Linked DNA regions of Rattus norvegicus. The protein of the gene in region 4 binds, or shares a complex with, the protein of the main gene of each other region. Links are inferred from orthologs where the notes say so. Each region holds a gene or a part of one and is shown on either strand. Other genes may lie near its edges.

Evidence for each region.
Region 1: Taf13 (region 4) and Taf11l1 share a complex: the UniProt entries of both Homo sapiens proteins name them as parts of the TFIID basal transcription factor complex. The link is inferred for Rattus norvegicus from reciprocal best matches to the Homo sapiens genes TAF13 and TAF11.
Region 2: Taf13 (region 4) and Taf9 share a complex: the UniProt entries of both Homo sapiens proteins name them as parts of the TFIID basal transcription factor complex. The link is inferred for Rattus norvegicus from reciprocal best matches to the Homo sapiens genes TAF13 and TAF9.
Region 3: Taf13 (region 4) and Taf5 share a complex: the UniProt entries of both Homo sapiens proteins name them as parts of the TFIID basal transcription factor complex. The link is inferred for Rattus norvegicus from reciprocal best matches to the Homo sapiens genes TAF13 and TAF5.
Region 5: Taf13 (region 4) and Taf7 share a complex: the UniProt entries of both Homo sapiens proteins name them as parts of the TFIID basal transcription factor complex. The link is inferred for Rattus norvegicus from reciprocal best matches to the Homo sapiens genes TAF13 and TAF7.

What each region holds. Positions count from the first base shown.
Region 1 is NC_086028.1:74,278,053-74,282,731, forward strand, and holds Taf11l1 (transcription initiation factor TFIID subunit 11-like), read right to left. Parts: upstream 3,007-4,679; 5' UTR 1,582-3,006; coding exon 958-1,581; 3' UTR 509-957; downstream 1-508. UniProt on the Homo sapiens protein: The TFIID basal transcription factor complex plays a major role in the initiation of RNA polymerase II (Pol II)-dependent transcription.
Region 2 is NC_086020.1:33,526,630-33,531,381, reverse strand, and holds the start of Taf9 (transcription initiation factor TFIID subunit 9), read right to left. Parts: upstream 2,995-4,752; 5' UTR 2,944-2,994; coding exon of another isoform or gene 2,916-2,943; exon of another isoform or gene 2,768-2,915; intron 2,740-2,767; exon of another isoform or gene 2,182-2,739; intron 840-2,181; coding exon of another isoform or gene 747-839; intron 15-746; 5' UTR 1-14. Other genes in the region: Ak6 (adenylate kinase isoenzyme 6), read right to left, coding at 747-839, 2,916-2,943; cell cycle checkpoint protein RAD17, read left to right, coding at 4,402-4,443. UniProt on the Homo sapiens protein: The TFIID basal transcription factor complex plays a major role in the initiation of RNA polymerase II (Pol II)-dependent transcription.
Region 3 is NC_086019.1:255,909,305-255,913,024, forward strand, and holds part of Taf5 (transcription initiation factor TFIID subunit 5), read left to right. Parts: intron 1-1,284; coding exon 1,285-1,414; intron 1,415-3,106; coding exon 3,107-3,271; intron 3,272-3,720. UniProt on the Homo sapiens protein: The TFIID basal transcription factor complex plays a major role in the initiation of RNA polymerase II (Pol II)-dependent transcription.
Region 4 is NC_086020.1:198,899,479-198,903,705, reverse strand, and holds part of Taf13 (transcription initiation factor TFIID subunit 13), read right to left. Parts: intron 3,844-4,227; coding exon 3,746-3,843; intron 828-3,745; coding exon 657-827; 3' UTR 1-656. UniProt on the Homo sapiens protein: The TFIID basal transcription factor complex plays a major role in the initiation of RNA polymerase II (Pol II)-dependent transcription.
Region 5 is NC_086036.1:29,710,182-29,714,972, forward strand, and holds Taf7 (transcription initiation factor TFIID subunit 7), read right to left. Parts: upstream 3,144-4,791; 5' UTR 2,909-3,143; intron 2,532-2,908; 5' UTR 2,471-2,531; coding exon 1,445-2,470; 3' UTR 995-1,444; downstream 1-994. UniProt on the Homo sapiens protein: The TFIID basal transcription factor complex plays a major role in the initiation of RNA polymerase II (Pol II)-dependent transcription.

The DNA.
Region 1 (4,679 bases), on a different chromosome or scaffold from region 4:
AGTAATTGAATCCTAGGCTTTTGAAAATGCTAATTCAGAATGCAAAAGGTTGATCAGACCGTTAAAGGTACCATCAGCACCAGTAGAGGAATGAATTAGAGATATTGGATCTCACACTTATGCTAATCTGATAGAAGTAATTTCTCAGAGTCTTAAGAAAAAGGAAAATGTCAGATGTCATTTGAAAAGGGATTATAGGCGAGGCATTCGTAGGCACAATGTTTTTCGTTGTTGTTGTTTTTCTAGAAGTAATCCAAAAGAAAGCTCAGCCTTCTGCAGTAGGCATAAGGTGTGGCAAAGCCCAGTAGTAGGCTAATGAATTCAGATTAACCCCCTAAGGGGCCTCCTACAGGGCATGTCAAATTGAATTCAACCATTCTGGGTCAGGGTCAGAGAAACTCAGCCCCAGGGCAATTAAAAGTTTTGTTTTGTATTTTTAAACAAGGAAAAAAAATCCAAGTTTTATTGGAAGGACAATAAGTTTTGTCTGCAACAAAATAAAACAAAGTTTCCCACACAGGTTGGAAAAGTTTAATAATCCCTCACAAAATACACAGGACAACCTGAAATGTTAACGGTGAGAATCGAATTATGGTGTGACTGTCTTCACAGCAGATTATTGAGAAAGTTTGTTTCGAAACAACCTGAATCTTAGCCACTTTAGGCTTCAATGTGAAACTGTAGTTGTCTTGTTTTTCTCTGAAATCATCTCCCTCTCCAGGAGATACTAACAGTCCCTGTGTATTTTTTCTTAAAAATAGCCAAGAGTCTGTGAAATTCTTCAACATGCCTGAGGACAGTCTATGACTGAGTGAAGGCAAGTCTGAGGCACACTACGTGCCTTGTAGGTGTAACAGAAACATTAAAGTCAGCATCAAGTGTCCTGGGCTCACCACCAACAAAGCCTCAGTACAGAAGCCCAACTATACGGAAAGTCTTGAACAGTCTCTGTTAGATCTAGAAGAAGGTGATTTTCTTGTGCTTTGAGCTGGGGATTTGCCCCTTGGACTTCAACCTCCGCACGGCCTCCCTCATGTGCTTGGGCTGCAGGGGTGGCATTTCTCCCCATTTCTCACACACATCCAGGGCTTCTTCTACCACCTCCCCGACAAAAACTTTAGAAATGCCAGACATGGCGATCACAACATTCTGAGACACAGAGGTGCCAGTGATGGACTGGATCAGCCTTTTAATGGCTGCCTTCGGGAAAGCTGACCGGCGATACATTTCATAACGGTTCAGCTGCTCTTCAGAAAAAGAAGAGACCAGGATTTGCATCTTCTGAATCTCATCTTCGTCCACCTTCTGCTTCTTCTCCTTCTTGTCTTTGGTTTCTAGTTTCAGCTTTTTGGCTGCAGGAGTAAGAAATGAGTCTTCCCTCTCAACTGCTGTCAAACCTGAGACATCCTGACTCTTGGTCTCCCTTTCCTCTGCCGCGGCTTCTTTCAAGTCCACGTCTCCATCCCTATCGGTTTCCTCAGGGATTCCCTCAGTGTCTGCCGCTAACGGGTTCCCAGGAGTAGCCCTCGACTCCTCTGACTCCCCGCCTTTGTCCGTGGGCGACTCTCCAAGGTTTTCCATCGCGACAGGAGGGGGTTAGAGGCGAAGGCAGCGCGGCCGGGCGAAGGAGTGAGGGTCAGCGAGTTTTGCCGCGGGACTTATATTATAGCTGAGGCTTATGGCTTGGAGCTGGTCCTTATTGCTTGTGGTCGCGCCGCGATGACGTCACGCCCACGGCTCCTGGGAGGGGTCATTTTCAGAGTCTCGATCGCTCAGGGTCTTCTTGTATACTGACTTTGTTTTAACCAGAAAGAAATGTAAAAGTATAGATCCTCCGCTTTAGGGTAGAAGCGTGTTCGAAAGGGCGTACAATTCGTTTACCGAGAGACTTCTTTTTTTCCTTCCTTCCTGGAAATGTAATGCCAATTAATCCGTTAACTTGAGCGCAAAGTCCGGAACGGGGCGAAAACTCCGTCCGGCTGCTTGTTGCTGCCTTGGACTGAGCAATTTCCGGCAGAGACTCAACCTCGTATTTTCCAAAGAACTGAGATCCGCGGCTTGGGTCCACCAGGGAACTGCTTGGGCTTCTCTTCTGTACCGCAAGCATCTCTAGTGCCAATAGAATATATCCAACGATTTCATTCAATGCTTCAACTATTGGCTACCTGCCTCCCGTCAGAACAGAGCTAGTATCCCGTTCCCACATTTCTTTTGTTTCTACAGTGCCTGGACCAATGAGGATCATTTCCAGTCCCATGAGGTTCCCAAATCTTTGGGAAGGCGAGCACTTCGGGAAGCTCCTACAAGTGTGCCCACTTCGTTCTTCCCCAGCTGTCGAATGGGCGGTTTCGCTGGGCGTGGACCGCGTCTGCGCCAGGTCTGCACTGCACACAATTAAAATATTTAATGCCTGTTGTTGACACTGCTCAGGTCTGGTGCATCAAGTCAGAAGCAGTCAGTCACAGGGATGGAAGTGTTTCTCATGATCCGGCACAAGAAGACCACCAACTTCATTGAGGCCAAGGAGTCGAGCACATGGTTCACTAAACAGGTAGCAAAGCCACAGGCCCTCAGTCACAGTGGACCTGGCTTTCAGAGCAGACGATGCCTTTGAAGGCCTGCAATATTTACACCTTTTCTAGTTCTCCACAACACGAGACGCGATGAAGAATTCTTGGGGGGTTGGGGATTTAGCTCAGTGGTAGAGCGCTTGCCTAGGAAGTGCAAGGCCCTGGGTTCGGTCCCCAGCTCCGAAAAAAAAAGAACCCCCCCCCCAAAAAAAAAAAGAATTCTTGGAACAGGGGTTGGGGATTTAGCTCAGTGGTAGAGCGCTTGCCTAGCAAGCGCAAGGCCCTGGATTCGGTCCCCAGCTCTGAAAAAAAGAAAGAAAGAAAAAAAAAAAGGAATTCTTGGAACAGTGCTAAGGAACAAGATGTGCAACGAGGGCCCCAGGCTCACTTCCTAGGGACCCATTTCCCAATAAAGATTTGGCTGACTTTTTTTAAAATTAATGTGTTTATTTTATGTATATGAATACAGTGTAGCTATCTTCAGACACACCAGAAGAGGGCATCAAATCCTATTACAGATGGCTGTGAGCCACCATGTGGTTGCTAGGAAGAACAGTCAGTGCTCTTAACCACTGAGCCATCTCTCCAGCTCTTGGCTGTCTTTTTAAATAAAAAATAAAGAACTCACATTGCTCTGATGTCATACTGCATTCTGCCTCTGCTGGAGGTGTCTAGCAGCCACCATCATGCCAGCCCTGAGCGGCATAACAAAAGCCAGAACAGGGGGTCCACAGTGAATGTTTCCCTTCTGGATGATGTCAGGCACTGCTACCCACAGAACTAGAATGGGAACAGAGGGGTCTGGGTTGAATGGTGTGGTTCCCAGTTTCCTCTCTGGATACCTAGGCACCGCTGGTGAGGAAGTCAGAGATGGGGTGTCTACATTTGGTTGCTGGGAATTGAACTCAGGACCTCTGGAAGAGCAGTCGGGGCTCTTAACCACTGAGCCATCTCTCCAGCCCGTGACCTTGAGTTTTATGGTTATATATATTATGGTTATATTTTGTCTTGATTGTTGTATTGTGTGCCTCCTTGGATTCCTGGTCTCAAGGACTTTCGGCTGGGTCCAGTCAGGACACATCTGCTCAGCATTTGCTTCATTCTTCCTGCCTCCTACCCCCAAGGATAGCTCAACGCCCATGTACAGCTTGAGGAAGTTATGGAGGAGTCGTCGCCCCAATTCCCTGGACTTTTGGGGGGCTGAAAGCAGTTATTCTAAAGTTGTTTTTATGAGGAACTTAGAAATGGTTGTAATTTAACAGGGAGGAATTAGCTAGATTGAGTTGTAGAGTCATTATCTCATTTGGTAACTAAGCTAAAATCATATCTTTGTTTTGGTATAGAATTTATTTGTCAAAAAAGTTTAAAAGTACAAGGTTTAGAGCCAGTCCTTCTAATTATGTCAATACAAACTTCTGAGTTGATTACATATGTGAGTTAAGGGCCAAATAGCACATTCATGGCTCTGACTTTGTGAGAGCACTTTCAAGATAATATTAAGATATGAAGGGGCTGGGGATTTAGCTCAGTGGTAGAGCGCTTACCTAGGAAGCGCAAGGCCCTGGGTTCGGTCCCCAGCTCCGAAAAAAAAGAACCAAAAAAAAAATATTAAGATATGAAAACAACAGTCCAGATTGTCTTATATAGATGGATGGTCTTCAAAAACGTCAGAAATCCACAAAATTTGAGACTTAAAGTTATTTATCTTTTGTTGAGACGTAGCTGCTCCTAACAGTTCCCCTTTGGCAGATTTAATGAAGAATTTGTTCAGGTAAGGCAATACTTTGTGGCTAGGCAGCCACTACACAAAGCTGCCTGTTTCATCTGCAGACTAATATTGTCCAGAAAAGGACAAATTATGCAGAATAGTTGACTGATAAGCTCTGCCAAGACAGGGTGATCGGCCCTTCAAAAATCTGCATTTCTAGAGTCTGTCAGTTGATTTTGGGCCAGAAGACTGAAGACTTGCACTCACATGTTGCTAACAGAGGACTGTGCTAGTAGAGATTTGCCGCTACAACCTCTCAGTTCTGGAAGCCGTGTTAGACTTCCTATGTGTATAGATATTTGGCATTCAAAGATTTCTGATGGGGTTGAACACAGGTTGTC
Region 2 (4,752 bases), about 170 Mb from region 4:
ATCCGGTGATCAGACTTTAGGTCATTTAAAAAAAATATGGAAATTAGATCAAACCGAAATAGTCACTTTAGTAGCAACTGTTAGGAATTTAAAATTCTCAAATGTGTTAAAACTTTTAAAAATATATTTAAAATATAAAACATCCATCTTTTTCTTTAATTAAGCATATTTAAACTTCCCTTTGCTTAAATATGAAATTCCTTCTCTGAAATGTGGATATAAAAAGGATGACACAAATAAGTTAAATAATAAAAGATTAGGGGAAAAAAGGGGTAAATAAGTAAAAAATAACACTTTAGACTACATGCAGTGAGTCTGGGCATGCAACTGTCCAAGTGACTTTTAAAAAGTAATATGATAGTCATATCCTATTTGAGTTCACGGTAGTCTATCCTGGAGAGATCAATATAATGTCTCATACATTTAAAATCACCCAAACCTTTGTGTCTGCTGAGCCCACAGCATTTTCCCTCTTCCTCATATTCAGAGCTTATCTATCCAGTCTCCCAACAAAACCGTCACAATTTTTACTATTCTCAATAATGCTAGTTATTTTGGGGTAGGGAAGGGAAAATGTCCAAAATAACTATGTCATACTACTATCTATTATACATGTGATTTTCTTTCTCAGGCCCCTAGCAGAACATAATCACTCATTGCCAGGACCCTCTAGCAACACTTCACAGTCCTAACACTCTACTATACCTGACTTAAAAACAGAAATACAACATCAAAGAGACGCTTACCTTCCCGAGCTAGATCTCCCACATTAACGTACTTCAGGCCTGATCTTGATGCAAGTTCTTTGCCTAGTGTGGTTTTTCCAACCCCTGGTGTACCTGTAAGAGAAGCCACAGAAAAATGCTGTTCAAATCCTACTTACTACATGTCAGCCGTCTTCTGCCCTTACAGTTCTTGGTTCTTTTTTTTTTTTTTTTTTTTTTCCGGAGCTGGGGACCGAACCCAGGGCCTTGCGCTTCCTAGGTAAGCGCTCTACCACTGAGCTAAATCCCCAACCCCTGCCCTTACAGTTCTTAGACGGTATAAAATTTTTCTTAATTAGCAATCATATATGAATATACACCATGAACTAATAAAAATTCCCCAGAAAGCCTGGTATGGTGGTGCACGCCTTTAATCCCAGCACTAAGGGTGGAGGCAGGTGGGTCAATCTCTGTGACTTCAAGACCAGACTAGGCTGGTTTCAGGACAGCCAGGGGCACATAGCAGGACCCTGTCTCAAAACCAAACCAACCAAAAAATTCTCCAGAAATTACTGGGTATTAGTGTCAGGACCCTAATCTCCAGGGATAGGACTCCAAAAATTTTGATGCCAATCCTGCCTGCCAACATATAAAATTCCCAGCATAAAATCAGGCACTTCGGGGGTTGGGGATTTAGCTCAGTGGTAGAGCGCAAGGCCCTGGGTTCCGTCCCCAGCTCCAGAAAAAAAAAAAAGAAAAAAAAATCAGGCACTTGGGATACATTATCATTTGCTGCATTAACAAAAGCTTAAAAACATTCAATGGAAAAAATATAAGAGGTATGAGAAATATCATTACTACTATTTACACTAGTAACTTCCCCAGAGGGAACTACTGTAAACCAGTTTCTTACTCAACTTTCTATGAGTTTGTGTATGTCTACAGGATACTTGGGATGCATTTAAATATGTGTGCACATACACATTGTATATATCCACAGCATAGGTACCCTGTTGTATAAATGGCACTATACATTGTTCTTTGCTTTTCTGCCTTTATAGCTAATACCCTTTTAAGATAATCAAATGCATAATGTTCAAGCTTAAAATTACTTAAGTCAATTTGAACATTATAAGTAAAAATCACGACTCTACATTCTCATCCTATTCAATCTTATGATATGGCTCTCTCTCTTTTTTTTTCCCCATACATAGGGCTGGCCTTTGACATATGCCACCCCAGCTAGTCTATGTAAGTTCTGGGGATCCAACCCAGGGTTTCCTGCCTACTAGTTATAAGTTCTCTATCAACTGATTTCCATCACCAGGGTCCCTCTGTAGCCTTCTGGTTTCAGAATCTTAACCCCCCCAAGACACTGTCTGACCATGCAAATCAGGTATTGTAAAACGTTCCTCCTAAGAAACCTTAAAAGCTAGTGCGTAGAGCTGAGGCAGACAACAACCTTACGATTCATTACCTGACATCTACATCCATCCCATTTTTGTACGACTGGCCTTTGATGCTACTAGATGCTACAACTTAATATTTCTAATTAAAGCTCCGAAACCTTCCCCCGGCCCCCACGATCAGCTCCAGATCACCACAAACGTCCACAAACGCTCAGAAACCCCAACACTAAAACAACAACAAAGCCTGTGGCGCGAACGGAACTAAGAAACAGTTAACTAGTCACTTCTCTCCACAAGCATCCCAAAATCATCTACCGAAACCTCTTGGGAAGCAAACGGGGCATTAAAAAAGAAAAGAAAATGGGTGGCGATCAGGAAGGCCCAAGGGCTGGGGCACCCACCATTACCACATCACCTAACGGCTAAAAACTGCCTCACAGCACCCCGATTTAAAAAAACCCCTAGCCCGACCGCGACAAAGAATCAGCAGCCGGTCCTCCAGGCAAAGATACCAGATTGACAAAGGCTAAGTGTCTCCCGGGGCGGCGGGGCAACGGAGCAGGAGCCGGCAGCCGCTCTCCTTCTCGTCGCCGCGGCGCGTCTGGCTAACCGAACCTCCGCCTCCCCCGCTCCCCCTACCCCCTCCCCCAACGGTCGCGAGCGCCGGGTCCTGACGCGACCACGACACCGCACGCCGCGCGGCCTGAGGAGCCCCGAGGCCGAACACCCAGCGCCCCCCGGGACCTCACAGCACTCGACAAACCCCGGCCCGGCCTGGCCCAGTCCCGCCGCGCGCCCTAACCGGTGAGCAGGATGTTCGGAAGCTTCATAGTACTCCTTCACACGCAGCCAGCGCTTCGGCTCACGCGCTCTCCAGGGAGGAGCCGGAAAGGGCGGGCGGGCGCGTGCGCCCGCGGCTAGGTTCCCTCGAGGCCCTTCGCGGTGCTCACACTCACTTAGGACCCCCTTGGCTCGCACCAATGACTCCCCGGCCTCGGGAGGTACACTTCCACCGAATGGGGGGAAAGCACGGCGCCAAGCCTGGCCTGCGTTTCGGGTCAGGCAGTACGCTGGACGCCTACGTCACTCGCTCGCCTGCCGGCCCCTCCCCTCTGGTGCGTCGCGTAAGCGCCCGCAGTAAGGAAGGTCCCCAGGAGGCGGGCCGCCCTAGAAGCCTGCGGCTGAGCTGGGAGGGCTGGGCGGTTACCCTTCCACACTACAGCCTGGCCTCCTTCACATCTTTCCGCCCGCGAGGGGACGCAGCTCCCAGAAAGTAAGGACGACGACGCTTCCGCTTTTCTTATTAATGTCCTAGAGGCGTGAGACCCGCTTCGTCTTTACGCCTACCTGGGCTGTCCTCCGGACCCGCCCTCCAATATGGACTAGTGTAGGATGTAGGTGAGGAGCCCTGGCCTGAAGCCATGGTGCGATGTGTCAGCTCCGTTCTCTGTTGATTGCACAAACACCTAGGACTGATGTGTCCCTGTCCCCTGCGCAGTGTATGAGGTGGAGGTGGATCGGCTAGGGGTAGTCTTGAAGTTCTCGTTTATCTCCAGCGTAATTCACGAGCCTGGTATTTATCATCAGAGACAGTTGGTTTTTTATCCAAGGTGATGATTGTCAGTCTTGTTTTCAAAGAGCCCCGACCGTTGAGTATCTTTTATTTCGACAAGTATAATTTCTTAAGCAGACGTTTTTGTATCCTTTTAAAACGTCAGGCCCTAATCCTAAATTATAAGGGGAAGAGCATTTGTTATATTAGGTGGGAAAGATTTTAGCGGGTGGGCTTGTGTGTACCTACAACTCTAAAATAGACCAGTGCACTTCCGGTTTATCCGAAGTGACTGATGAGTCTTACTTCATTGTGTTTTTTCCTTTCTCTTAAGTTGTAAATACACTGTACTTTGCAGCGTGATATGAAATAAGAATTTAGGCATAAAAATGCTTATATGGGATTAGTTTTTCTTTATAACAGAAGGTAAGTGCACAAATATGTGGCTTTTCTGTTTCATTCTTTGGAGTTTATATGAAAACCTTTTTACTTATACCATCCCACCACAAATAGACTATCTGATACAATTGTAATCATTTAAAATTTACTTAAAGGTTTTAACATCTTTTTTGAGTCCACATTACATGGTTGATTTTGTATTTTGATATTGATCAGTATTAATCCTGTATTTATTGTTTTTCCTAATTTGTGATGTTTTTCTTTTTTCCACCAAGGTGAATTATACTTCAATATACTCTAAATTGTATGCTACTGATGGGAACTGTTAAAGTTTATAATGTCAGAAACTTTCCTTAGACCAAAGGTGTCTTCTACAAAGGTATGACATACATAGAATGGCATGTAGTAGTTGCCTAAAGAGAACCACAAAAGTTTGTTCTCAGTGCTTTATGCCTGTCAAAGTAGTGATGGTCCAGCGTGTGCTGCAGTTAGTGATCTGAAGTCTGGTAAGCCGAAAAACAGCTGTAACCACGACCATTGAAAAGCCACCTTTTTTCCTTCCTTCCTTCTTTCCTACCTTCCTTCCTATTTTATTTTTAATTTTTCAAAACCGAGTTTCTCTTTGTAGACCTGGATATCTTGGAACTCACTTGGGAGGCTGGCCTCTGCCTCCCAAGTGCTGGGATTA
Region 3 (3,720 bases), on a different chromosome or scaffold from region 4:
GCTCATTGCTGCCAGGCCTGATGAACCGAGTTCAATTCCTTGGAATCCACATATGGGAGAGAATCCCAAGAGTCATCTTCTGACCTCCCCATGCACTAGGCATGTAGACATCTACATAGACACAGACACTAAACAATTTTTAAAGAGAGTGAGTTCAAGGACTTGCCTAGACCTCAGAGCAAATTCAAGGCCAGCCTGTAAACCTTAAATGAACTGTCTCAAACCAAAACAAACACCAAACCAAGGTAACATTTCCAATAAATGAAAGGGCCTTGGGGGTGGCAATGATTATTCCATTGGCCCCCAGTTCTCTCATATACAAAATGAAGGGAATAGGTCAGACAACTCTTTTTTTTTTTTTTTTTTTTTTTGGTTCTTTTTTTCGGAGCTGGGGACTGAACCCGGGGCCTTGCGCTTCCTAGGCAAGCGCTCTACCACTGAGCTAAATCCCCAACCCCAGACAACTCTTTAAAGTTAAAACTGTGATATCTGATGATTATTTGCCTATAACTTTTAAGAAAACCTTAGTGAGGCTGGCAGGGCCTCACTAAACCTTAGTAACTCGGTAGATAAAGGCAAGTGCTTGCCACCAGACATGCAGACTTGAGTTCAGTGTTCACAGCCCACATGGTTGAGGAGAACTGACCCTACATATTGTTCTCTGACATATCCCTGTGTGATGGCATGCATGCTTAAATTCACTTCATACAAGACTGAGGCAGGAGGATCACTAAGTTCAAAGGAGCCTAAGCTACACAGTGAAGACTCTGTCTCAAAAATTAAAACACAGTGCTGAATAGAGGACTCTGGTTGAGAGCACTGCCCATTGCTGCAGAGGACCTGGATGAGATTCCCACCACCAGCCATCACTCTAGTTCCAGGGATCCAACACATGCATGTGGTACATTTTTATCATCCAGGGAAAGCATTGGTACATACAGAAAACAAAAGGCAAAACACAGAACCGAAACCACTCCTAAGGTCAGGATTTTAGATGCTTTTGATAGCTATTTTTCCTAAACAGTTAGGTTTATATTGTTTTAGGATTTGTATAGCTTCCTTTTTATGAAATGTGATGGACAGACTGGTTGTCATACTGAGTAACTGTATGGTCTAGCAGATTAACTGTTTGGAAGATTTCATTTTTTTCTATATGAGGGGACAGATCACTTAATTTAGCATAGTGTTGTTGGTAAAGAGGAAGAAATGTTGAAATGTTAGTTCTGAATTATGAGAGATTGCCTTAAATAATATACCTAAAATACTATTTCTGGACCTTTTTAGATCTTAGTCTTATAGACAAAGAATCAGATGATGTCTTAGAGAGAATCATGGATGAGAAAACTGCAAGTGAGTTGAAGATTTTGTATGGTCACAGTGGGCCTGTCTATGGAGCCAGCTTCAGTCCGGATAGGTAAAATTCAAACACAATTAAATGCTGATGAACAGTGCTGAGATTTCAAACTTAACTGCTGGAGATGAAATGCAAATGCCAAACATTATGGTTGCCTGTAGTTCAGTATCTTTCAGAATTAGAATCTTACCATTTGCTAATATATGTTGGGGACTGGAATATAACATAGCACCTAAGTGTATACTGAATATACAAAAATCAGGATATACATTCATGGCTTCACCAGTTTCAGAATTTAGCTTTATTTTTGAATAACCCTCTGGAAGAGGTTGAATTGTTCGAGTTTGTGGATTATTCTTATGGAACTTCCTAACACTTAAGAGAAATTGCTCATTAAAAGCTATCAATGGAAGCATTTAGGTATTTTAACAGGAAAACAGAAGAAAGCTGGGTGTCATAGTAAGTGCCTGCCATCCCAGCCTCTCTGGAGGCTAAGGCAGGAAGGAGAATTGTGGTTCAAGGTTCACTGGGTATCACAGCCAGACCATGTTTTGAAATAGCATGTGTTTAGGTATTTCTTGATTTTCATTTCTAACTTTCTGCAAAAATGGCTGGGAAAGGGTGGTTTCACCCATATTATCTTGTGTATTCTACTTAGTAGTTTTTGACCACCAGAGTTTTCATTGTACTTGTGAGATCTTGAGAAATAAACAAAACAAAACCAGTACCTAATAGGATTTAGCCAAGTGGTACATTTCACTTGAAGAGAATGATTTCAGTGAAAACTGTTGGCTTTTTTATTTATCCCTGAAAAAGGTGGAACGTTAGTATTCTGCAGGGGAATGGCGTCCTGGTTGAACACAGGGCCTCCAGCACATACTAGGTGTGCACTCTGCTATTGAGCTGTACCCGACTCCTTCTCTCTATTAGATACAGTCCATGCTGACAGCAAATCACATATTCAGAACTGATGCACCTCATTTCTAGACTGTCTGGTAACCGCACTGCTTATTAGCCTCAGTACTAGTTTCTTAGTGTTTTGAACACAGGGTCATCACCTGAGTTCTGAGGTTACACATGCGCTATCACACTATTTTTTTTCTTTTTTCTTTTCTAAAGCACTGTGACCCCTCCCCATAGTCTTGACAGGTTTTTTTGTTTTGGCTTGTTTTTTTTTTTTTTTTTCTTTCATTATTAGCTTTATATAGTTAAGTGTTGAGGATATACTTCGACATGATTTCACTTAACATTAGTTTAATACTTTTAGCTTTTGTTATCTACTGTGAATTCTAAGAATAGAGAGGTGGGGCTGAGATGGCTCAGTGAGGAAAGTGCTTGCCATGTAAGTGTGAAAATCAGATTTTAGATCTCCAGCACCCATATAAATGCTGGCCTGGCGGCCCTCCTGTGATCCCAGTGTTCTAGACCTGGAGCTGGGGTTGCTGACAAGCTCTGGGTACATCTGGGAGATTGATCCAGGGAAGACTCCTAAATATACCCATGCATCCTGCATTCCACACACAGGTGAGGGAGCTGAGGATGTGTAGCTCAGTGGTAGAATGCCTGCCTGCCTGCCGTGTGCAAGGCCTGAGGGTGAGTCCTCAGCACTCTGCGCCCACTCCCAGGAGCATGTGCACGCACACACTAATGTAACATAGGTGCATGTCAGTTGTTAAAATGTGAGGTTGGGAGAAACTTGGACAGGTAACTAGACTGTACTGAGAATCAGTCAGCACCGCCTCTTCTCCTCAGGAACTACCTACTCTCCTCTTCAGAGGATGGAACCGTTAGACTCTGGAGCCTGCAGACTTTCACTTGCTTAGTTGGATATAAAGGGCACAACTACCCAGTGTGGGACACACAGTTTTCTCCATATGGATATTATTTCGTGTCAGGAGGCCATGACCGCGTAGCTCGGTAAGAACACTGATCTAATGGGGTTTACTCACTGGATATAACTGTATCTTGTCAAGAACACAAAGTCCAGCAAGCCGTATTTTCATGCTATTCAGGATTAACTTTTGGAGAAGATAATTCACAGCTGTAACTTGAAAATGTGAGAGGGGAATATTTCTCCCTCCAGGGTCTACACCGAGGGCCCTGCTTCCTGTTACTCTAAAGTCCCCTTTGAAGTAATTTTTGTTAGAAACTATGTGGTTGCCCAAATTATAGGAAAATGGTTTTCTGTTCATTAGGAGTGGGGAGGTGGGTATAAAAGAATAAGCGTTTATATGCTGGCTGGAGAAATGGCTCAGCAGTTGAGTTCTGACTGTTCTTCTAGAGGACCCAGGTTCAATTCCTGGCACATACATGGCCGCTCACAACTGACTGGAACTCTAGTTCCTTGGGATCTGGCGCCCTTACAC
Region 4 (4,227 bases):
TATCAGTGGAACACAACCCAGAATACCTGTCCTGGCCTCTGCTTCACAAGCTGTGCCATTCCTACGGCTGAAGGCATTTGTTTTTGGAAGCATTACAGTCATCAAGGAAGACGACGAGATTACTAATGCTTAGCAAATACTAGTTTCTCTTTAAAAAAGTGTTCTTTAGAAAAGAATATTAAAACAAATGATCGATTAAGACATTCTGACAAGAATTTAGTTTTCTAAAAAAAAAAAAAAAACCACACAAACCAGTTCATTATCTTTAATAGCTTCTCCCACTACTGTCGTCTAAAAACTTGAGATTCATAAAGCACAAGCCCTACCATTCATAAAATCAAGAGGACATTTAGATTGCATTTTATGCAGCGATGTACACAGCTTGGAATGCACATGTCTACCTGAAGAATAAGTACTACTTCCCCCTTTCGGGTGGAACTGCATGGTTTGCAATACTTTAAGTTAGGAGTTATTCAAGGCCAGTAAGCAACTCAAATATGGTCAGATAAAGACAGGCAACAAAAGGCTCACGTTACAAATCTAAAATCAAAGGCCTCTGTCATTGCATGCCTAGCTATCACGATATTACTGCAGACAACAAATACAATGTATGGTTTCCACAGAAAATATCAAAATCCCGGGCATCACAAACGGTGTCAAGATCCATAGTTGGCTTCGTCGAAAGCTTTTCTAGCCCGTTTCAACTCTTCATTCATAGTTAGTAAGTCTTTAACTCTAGCGAACTTCCTCGGATCCTTTCGAATTAGGAAGACAATATCTTCAACTTGCACTCGACCTTGTCTTCCAATTGACATTGCCTTATGAGTCTATGACAAGGAAACACATCAATTTTTAAGGGCCAAATATTTTTGTGTTTTAATTTTCTATTAATCACGCTAGTGTTACATTTGTGAACCAGCTGTCTGATCATCTCCTTACTTAGGAATTTATTTATTTCATGCATGTGAGTACACTGTAACTGTCTTCAGACACCAGAAGAGGGCATCAGATCTCGTTACAGATGGTTGTGAGCCACCATGTGGTTGCTGGGAATTGAACTCAGGACCTCTGGAAGAGCAGACAGTGCTCTTAACCGCTGAGCCATCTCTCTAGCCCTCCTTACCGCCTTTCTATTGCATAATCGACAGTATTTTCTTTCTGCATTACAGGACTTCTTTTTTCATTACGGACAATAAAACTACCAAAATGAGCTAGACAGAGTGATACACACTTTTAATTCCAGCACTTGGGAGGCAGAGACAGACAGATCTCTGTGAGTTCAAGACAAGCCTTGGTCTATAAAGCAAGTTCCAAGCTAACCAGGGACATATAGCGAGACCCTGCCTTAAAAATAGATGGATGGACAGATAGGCAGATGGATGGTCAGACAGACTGGCAGACTAAAACAACAACAAAACCTAGCAAATTGGGGTTGGGGATTTAGCTCAGTGGTAGAGCGCTTGCCTAGGAAGCGCAAGGCCCTGGGTTCGGTTCCCAGCTCCGAAAAAAAAGAAAAAGGAAAAAAAAAAAAAAACCTAGCAACTTTTGAAGATACTTCTGTTTTATTTTATGATATAGGTGAAGTTTTTGTCTTGTTAAATGTGTTCTGGGTTGGCTAATGAGTAGGTAATAGAGATTAGGAAAATAACAATTAGGCTTTAGTAGGCTGGAAGGAAAGAAGGGAGGTTTTGGGAGGCTAAATAATAAAACTGATCCTAAGACTAATGCTTAAATCTTTTATATAAAAAATCTATACTTGGAGACACAATTATAACATTATTTTTGTTGCTGTTTTGTTTTTGAGACATGTTTTTGAGTCTCACTATATAACTAGAACTTACTATGTAGATTGGCCTAGCCTTGAACTCAAGCCAACTTATCTCTGATTCCTGACTGGTTTTTTTTTTTTTTTTTTTTTGGTTCTTTTTTTCGGAGCTGGGGACCGAACCCAGGGCCTTGCGCTTCCTAGGCAAGCGCTCTACCACTGAGCTAAATCCCCAACCCCTCCTGACTGTTTTTTATAGAGACAGGATCCAGAAACTAGGCTGGTCTCAAATGAGGCAATCTTCCTGCCTCTGCTACAACTTCTAGAACTAAAAGCATGCACCACTATGCTCAGCTTTGTTTCTGTTTGTTGAGAAAGGGTCTTACTACCTAGCCTACCTAGCCTGGTCTTAAAACTGGGGTCCACCTACCACAGCCTCCTGAATGCCGAGCACACCGAAATGACATCTTCTCCTGCCTGGCTGCTTTGTTTGTTTTTATCTGTTTGTTTGTTTGAGAGATGTCTTTATTTCATTTTATTTGTTTGTTTGAAATCCTAGTCTTGTTATGTAGCTCTGGATGGCCTAGAACCTGCTACATCCTGTAGTAGATCCTCCTGACTCTCTCTGGAATTCTGGGATTACAGGTAGGAGCCACTATGGCAGGCTCTGTCATTTAATATGCTGCTGGGGACTGAGCCCAGGGCCTCGCACACGCATATTAGCATAATCTGGCACTACTATGGCTAATGTTTTCCCTGAGCTGAGGTAAACTGGATTAAATACTCGCCACATGTGCAGGCCCTTGTACACACACCGAACAGCCTCAGCCCTGGCTGAGTAATCCTTTCACTTATTCTGTAGTAAGGAGATGGTCCAATGTAAAGGGTGAACACTCATAAGAACTAAAACCAACCAAACTCAGTGACCTCACCCCTGCTAATCCATCCAAACAAAGGAAAAGAAGAAAACCATAAAAATGGTCATTCAAGATGTTAGACCAGGGGCTGGAGAGATGGTGCAGATGTTAAGAGCACTGGCTGCTCAGGGTTGGGGATTTAGCTCAGTGGTAGAGCGCTTGCCTAGGAAGCGCAAGGCCCTGGGTTCGGTCCCCAGCTCCGAAAAAAAGAACCAAAAAAAAAAAAAAAAAGCACTGGCTGCTCTTCCAGAGGACCCAGGTTCAGTTCCCAGCATCCACAAGGTAGCTCACAACTGTCTTTAACTCCAGTTCCAAAGTATCTGACATCCTCACACAACATACATGTAGATAAAACCAATGCACATGAAATAGAATTTTTTAAAAATCCCAAAGGTATTCCATGAGCTGTACATACCTTTTTTTTTTTTTTTTTTTTTTTTTGGTTCTTTTTTTCGGAGCTGGGGACCGAACCCAGGGCCTTGCGCTTCCTAAGCAAGCACTCTACCACTGAGCTAAATCCCCAACCCCCTGTACATACCTTTAAATAAATACTGGAAGGGAAAGAACTTAGGCTGGGTGAGATTATGGGCAATACTTTTAATTTTATTCAAAGATACTATGTTTTTACAAATAAAACTCAGGGGCTGTAGAAACATCTTAGTGCTTAAGAACAATGGTATCTTCCAGAAAACTGGAGTTCAGTGCCCAGCACCCACATGGCAGCTCACAACTGTCTGTATCTCCAATTTCAGGGAATCCAACACCCTCTTCTGGCCTCCAAGAGCACCAGACACACATAACATACAGGGACATACTTGTAGGCAAAACACCTGTACACACCAAGTGAAATATAAAACAAACAAAGCTCAGAAGTTCTGAGATACATTTACGTACTATCCATAGTAAGGGCAAATAGAAGCCAGGAACTTGCACAAAGCAGGCACTCAAACAGATAGTTTATTTCAAAAATTCTAGCATTATCTAAAGCTTAACATTTTAAACCTTCAATTAACAGTTACAAAAATCAACACAACAAAAAAGTGATAGTTACAAAGTATCTTACCATTTCAGTGATGAACTCTATGACAAGGTCTTCGAGAATATCCACTGACTCCGTATAAGGATTCTGGTCATCCCCAAACCCATACATCATACAGCGCACTGTGAGAGAGCAAGAGTGTTGCGTGACCCAGAGATGGACCAGTGTCACCAGTACACTTTGCATACCAAGTAGGATTAAACCAAATTATAAACAATGGTTTAAACACAGTTATGGCTGGGCGTGGTACAGCTTGGTTTTTAATCCCAGCAGTCAGGAATCAGAGACAGGTGGACCTAGTTTGGTCCAGGCTGGTCTATGCAGTAAGACAAACGAAATATTACAGTTGTGTCTGCAAGTATGGATTTTGGTATAAAAGATCAAAGTTGTCTTAGGACTGCTCTTACTATTTAGCCTCCATAAATTTCTCTTCCTTCCAAACTACTAAAGACTAACCTTATTATATGCACACACACACACACACACACACACACACACACACACAC
Region 5 (4,791 bases), on a different chromosome or scaffold from region 4:
TGTGCATCCAACATCCTTCCAATATTGATGGTATTTCGGTAGCACCTGTACCAACATCATAGTAAAAACTCTTTGGTTAAATACTGTATCTTCCTCTGGTGTCAGTTCTTTAAGTGTGGTGAAAATATCTTAAATATACTTAGAATTTTTCACCTGCCACTTTGTTAAGAACACATACTTTATGACTCTAACACTCTAGAGCCAGATATTAAGGGAATCTTTAAGCTGCATTGCAGTCACGTGCTTGTGAAAACGCAAGGAAAAGTACATTCTGAAGCGTCTAAGCATTAAGAGGCTTGATCCTGAATTCAGTCTTAATAACTCATTTTGAACACTTCACTACTGTTTTCTAACAAAATCTGAACTTTGATTTATGAAGCAAGTACTTTTAAAGTGAAGTTTTACAAACAAATCAGACAGAAATTAATTTTTAACTATGCACCTTACCAATCTTGGTTTTTCCCCAAAAACACCCCTCCCATCCATAAAACATTAAATGCCTCAGAGAAAAATTCTATGTATGAAATTTTAAAATACCAGACCTGGTAACAGGCTTTCATAGTGGCAAATACTAATGAAATAACATGAACAAACATGCCTATTAAAAAAGCATAGCAATTAAAATGGCAACAGTTAAGAATATAATCTTAATCTAAGCAAGTGGAATAGTTCATCTGATAACTGTTTAACTGCTTCCAGTATTTTATAGATAACTTTAGTGTTTAATAAAAAGATATAGACAGATATCCTTCAATGAAAAGTAGGATAGTTTAAGAAGGCTCTGGACCGAGTGTTCACAAACCTCCAGATGGTGTAGGTAGGCCTGAACCATAATCTATAATGCAAAGATGAATTTCTCCATTTCCTTATCTGGTGTATTCCTTTTCTAAAAAGGCAAAACAACAGCATGTATCTTGATCTATACCACTCAGCCATTAAACTCCATGAGCTCACCTCAACTTTCAGTATTCATTGAAGAACAAGATAAGCAAAGTGAAAATTAGTAACTTTTATTGTGCAAAAAACAACTTTTATGAAAAAACTTGCATTTCTGTAACATGGAAACTTGCTGAGAAGGTAAAAAAATATATTTCTTAAAAAAAAAACAAAAAAAAAAAAAAAAAACACTCCATTGCCTGTAGGCTAGCTAGCTTCTTACTGATCTTAGCACCGAAGAATAGGACTAGAAACTTAGGAAACAAATTGTAATAAAGTCCTATGGTGAAGTGATTAAAAGCTCAGTGTTGTCACTTCACTAACCTTACACTACAACAAATCTGCCTATGTAATCCTATTTTCTTAAGAGTGAAAACAATCAACACAATAACTCCTAGCATTACAGGAAATAAGAATATTTCAAAGAAAAAAGAAGAATTTTTCAAGACCTCACTCTGAAAATAAATTCTTCTTAAGCTGACTAGTCTAAGGACTAAAGTCAACCTTTTCACTTCTCCAGAAGTGATTCCAGCTCTTCTTGCAAAGAGCTAAGCTGCTCCTTTTCCCGGTCTTCCTTCTGTTTGAGCTCATCCAGAACAGCTTGAAACCTGTTCTTCAGAGCCAGGTTTTCTACCTTCATGATGAGATCCTCCTGGCGCTTTGCTCTGTCTTGGGTTTCTTGAAGCTTGCCTTTCATATTATCAATCTGCTTCTGAATCCCCATAACCAACTGATTGGTTCCTTCATTTTCTTGGTGTTGTTCATCTGACTCATTTAGCTTGTCCTGTAGCTGTCTCTCCAGATCCTCTTCAGTGTCAATGATGTTTACATCTTCTTCATCTTCGCTGCTGCTGCTGAGGTCATTGAATATCTCTCGAAGCTCATCATGCTCTAGTGAGTCATGGCCCTGCCTGTGGCCAGACATTCCAGGAGAGGAGATATCAAGGCCTTGATTTTCTGCCTCCTTTGTTTCATCTTCAGCAATTATCTCCCAACGAGTACTGACAGCTTCTGCATCTGTACTCAGCAGCCGCTTTACTTCTTTTTCCACATCTGGAGATTCAATGTACTTCTTCTTTGCTGTCTTCCGGAACCTTCTCTTTCTGACATTTTTTAGAGGTAGAGTAATTCCATGGTTCCAAACAAATTTTTTCTCTTTGTCCTTATCTTTTTTCTTGTTTGCTTTGGGATCAGCAGTAGCAGCTGGCTCCTCCACAGGAGGGTATAGATCACCATCTACTGTGGCTACAAGCATCTGAGAGATATCAGCTGTCTTGTAAAAGGTTTTTTTATCAATGGTTTTCAAGCTCTCCGTAACACACGGCAAATCTACCAATTTTGCAGCCAGGGGCACTCTATCCACTCTGACAATCCCATGACGCCCATCAGGGTGTAACTCAATGCTCAGTCTATCTTTCAGGTTGACGTGCCCAGACTGCACTGCCCTCCTCACAGTAGCGGCATATTCTGGGGGCAACCGTAAGATAAACTGGCTCTCTAGCTCATGAGGTGCATCATCTTTGCTCTTACTCATCTTCACTTCCTTGTGAATTACTTCTCCAATAAACACCTGCTGCACTAACAAGTTCCAGCTCCTACAACAGTTAAAAAAAGGACAAGGTTAAGAATAATCTTAAACTCTTAGTTACTGAGTTCTAAGGAAAACAGCAACTAAGTGGATCATCACCTACTGCCTATTTTGTCTTAATTTATAATTAAGTCCCAATACTAATCTCTAAACATGCATCCCACTTTGGCATTGTCCCTGTTAAACTCACACCTCTACTAGATGCAATACCAAATTAGGGCCTCTAGACGCCGCTGCAGCATCACGTGAACAGCCAAAGAAAACAGCAGCGCCTGAGGGGATTTTAGGCACAGTCCGTCCGTCTGGCAGGCAATCCCAATCCACGGATTCTCTCCAGTAAGAGATTTAAATAAAAGTCGTGAGCTCTTCGGCTCGGGTACTTACAGTTCACCAGCAACTATGAACTCAGCTTTTCTCGGCCTGAGTAAAGCAGCGATGAGCGGTGCGTCTACCTTCCAGTTTGTCCGCGCTTTCAGCCGCCCGGCAAGGCGACCTGAGCGCTAACAACGAAACGGCTCAGGACCCGCAGCGCGAAACCTCGCCACACTGCCGCTCAAACATCCGAACTCCGGAGAGGACCTTGCCAAGCCTCCTCCCACGCAGAAAAGAAGGAAAGAAAGTGCTACGGCAGTGAGCGGAAGCAGACGCGGCGCTACGTCAAAGACCGGAAGTAGACGCGGAGGGGCTGGCTGCCGCTCTTCCGGAAGTAGTAACGTCGCGGCGCGCGCAGGCGCATTCTCGTAATTACGTCGTCTCGTGACTACTTCTCGTGAGAACTTACCTTGTATAGGATTAAAACTAGTGTTTCCGGAAAAACCTTGGCTTGGAATTCAAAGATGAAGATTCCAAAAAGTAAAACATAAGCACACCCCCTAAGACAGCACTTTTATGAAGTCGTGGGTTAAGACAGTTTCTAGAGTGATTGCCAGAGATAAAGGGCGTCCCTGCAGAAAGCATCTTTTCTTCCCAGGGCATACCCGGTCCCTCCGCCAAAAGCTTTGGAAGCATCACAAAGTGAAAGTAAAGTGGCCAAAACAGTGGAATGATACAGTTTTGCTGTCTACCACATAACGCTGTGTATAATCATGTTAATTAGCTTTGAGAGGAACTAAGCCTTTAGCTTCGTTAGTATTTTTGGCTCCAGAGGACGAGGTGTGATATGTATGATACGCTATTTTGGTAATATGTTTGATAGATATAACTGTATACAAATGTTTTTATGATGACACAGGTTCATTAAGAACAGAATTGCCTTGCCTGAAACACAAACGTTCTGATTTTGTTGTTGGGTATCCACCAAAGAAGGCTGCTTGGACATAGTTTTAAGCCAATATAAAGTATTAGCTAGCCAGCGACTACATTGGGTGTTCTGGATCCCAGTGTGGCCCTAAGGCTTTCTCAGGGTGAGCTTTTAAGCACAAACAAATGTTCTACATTGGCATGTTTCTGTTACAAAAACCACTTTCCAGAGACAGAACTACAGAAGCCAAAAAACAAGGTTAGTACATTAGAGACTTTCTCAAAACTATGAAATTTGATAATTAGGTCTGTTTTTGTTTTGCCCATTGGTACTGTCTGTACTGTTAGGGTTCTCTAGAGTCACAGAAATTCTGGAATGTCTGTATACATTAAGGGATTTTAATGTAATGATTTACAGTCTGTAGCCCAACTAACCCAACAATGGGCAGCTGTGAATGGAAAGTTCAAGAATCTAGTTTCTCAGTCCCACGAGGTTAGTTCTTTCACCCAGTCTTCTGTATAAACTGGAATCTTGAAGAAGTGGGTACCAACAGATGTGCTGGCAAGTAAGAAGTAAGTGCAAGCAATTGAAGAAGTGTGAGTCTTCCTTCTTCCAATGTCCTTATATAGGCCTCCTGCAGAAAGTATAGCGCAAATTAAAGGTGTGCAGCACCACTCCTGGATCCAGAACTTGGCTTATCCCAGCCTGGCCTGGAATTCAGAGATCTGTTTGTCTGGGATTAGAGGTGTGTACTACCTTGCCTGGACCTAAGCTTTTCATAGTCACTATGCCTCAAGATATCCATGTGTCTTCTAGCCTCAAGACCTGAATCACAGGTGTGCCCTCCATTTCTGGATTGTGGTTCCTTCCAGATATAGTCAAGTTGACAAGCAGGAATAATCAACACACTATGTAATGAATGGTATTTTCCTCATGGAGTCAGTTGTGCTAACTGGGGGCCTGTTACAGTTGAAATGTAATGTGGAAGCATTTTTTAAATCTTTTTTTATACATTGTCTCTGTGACC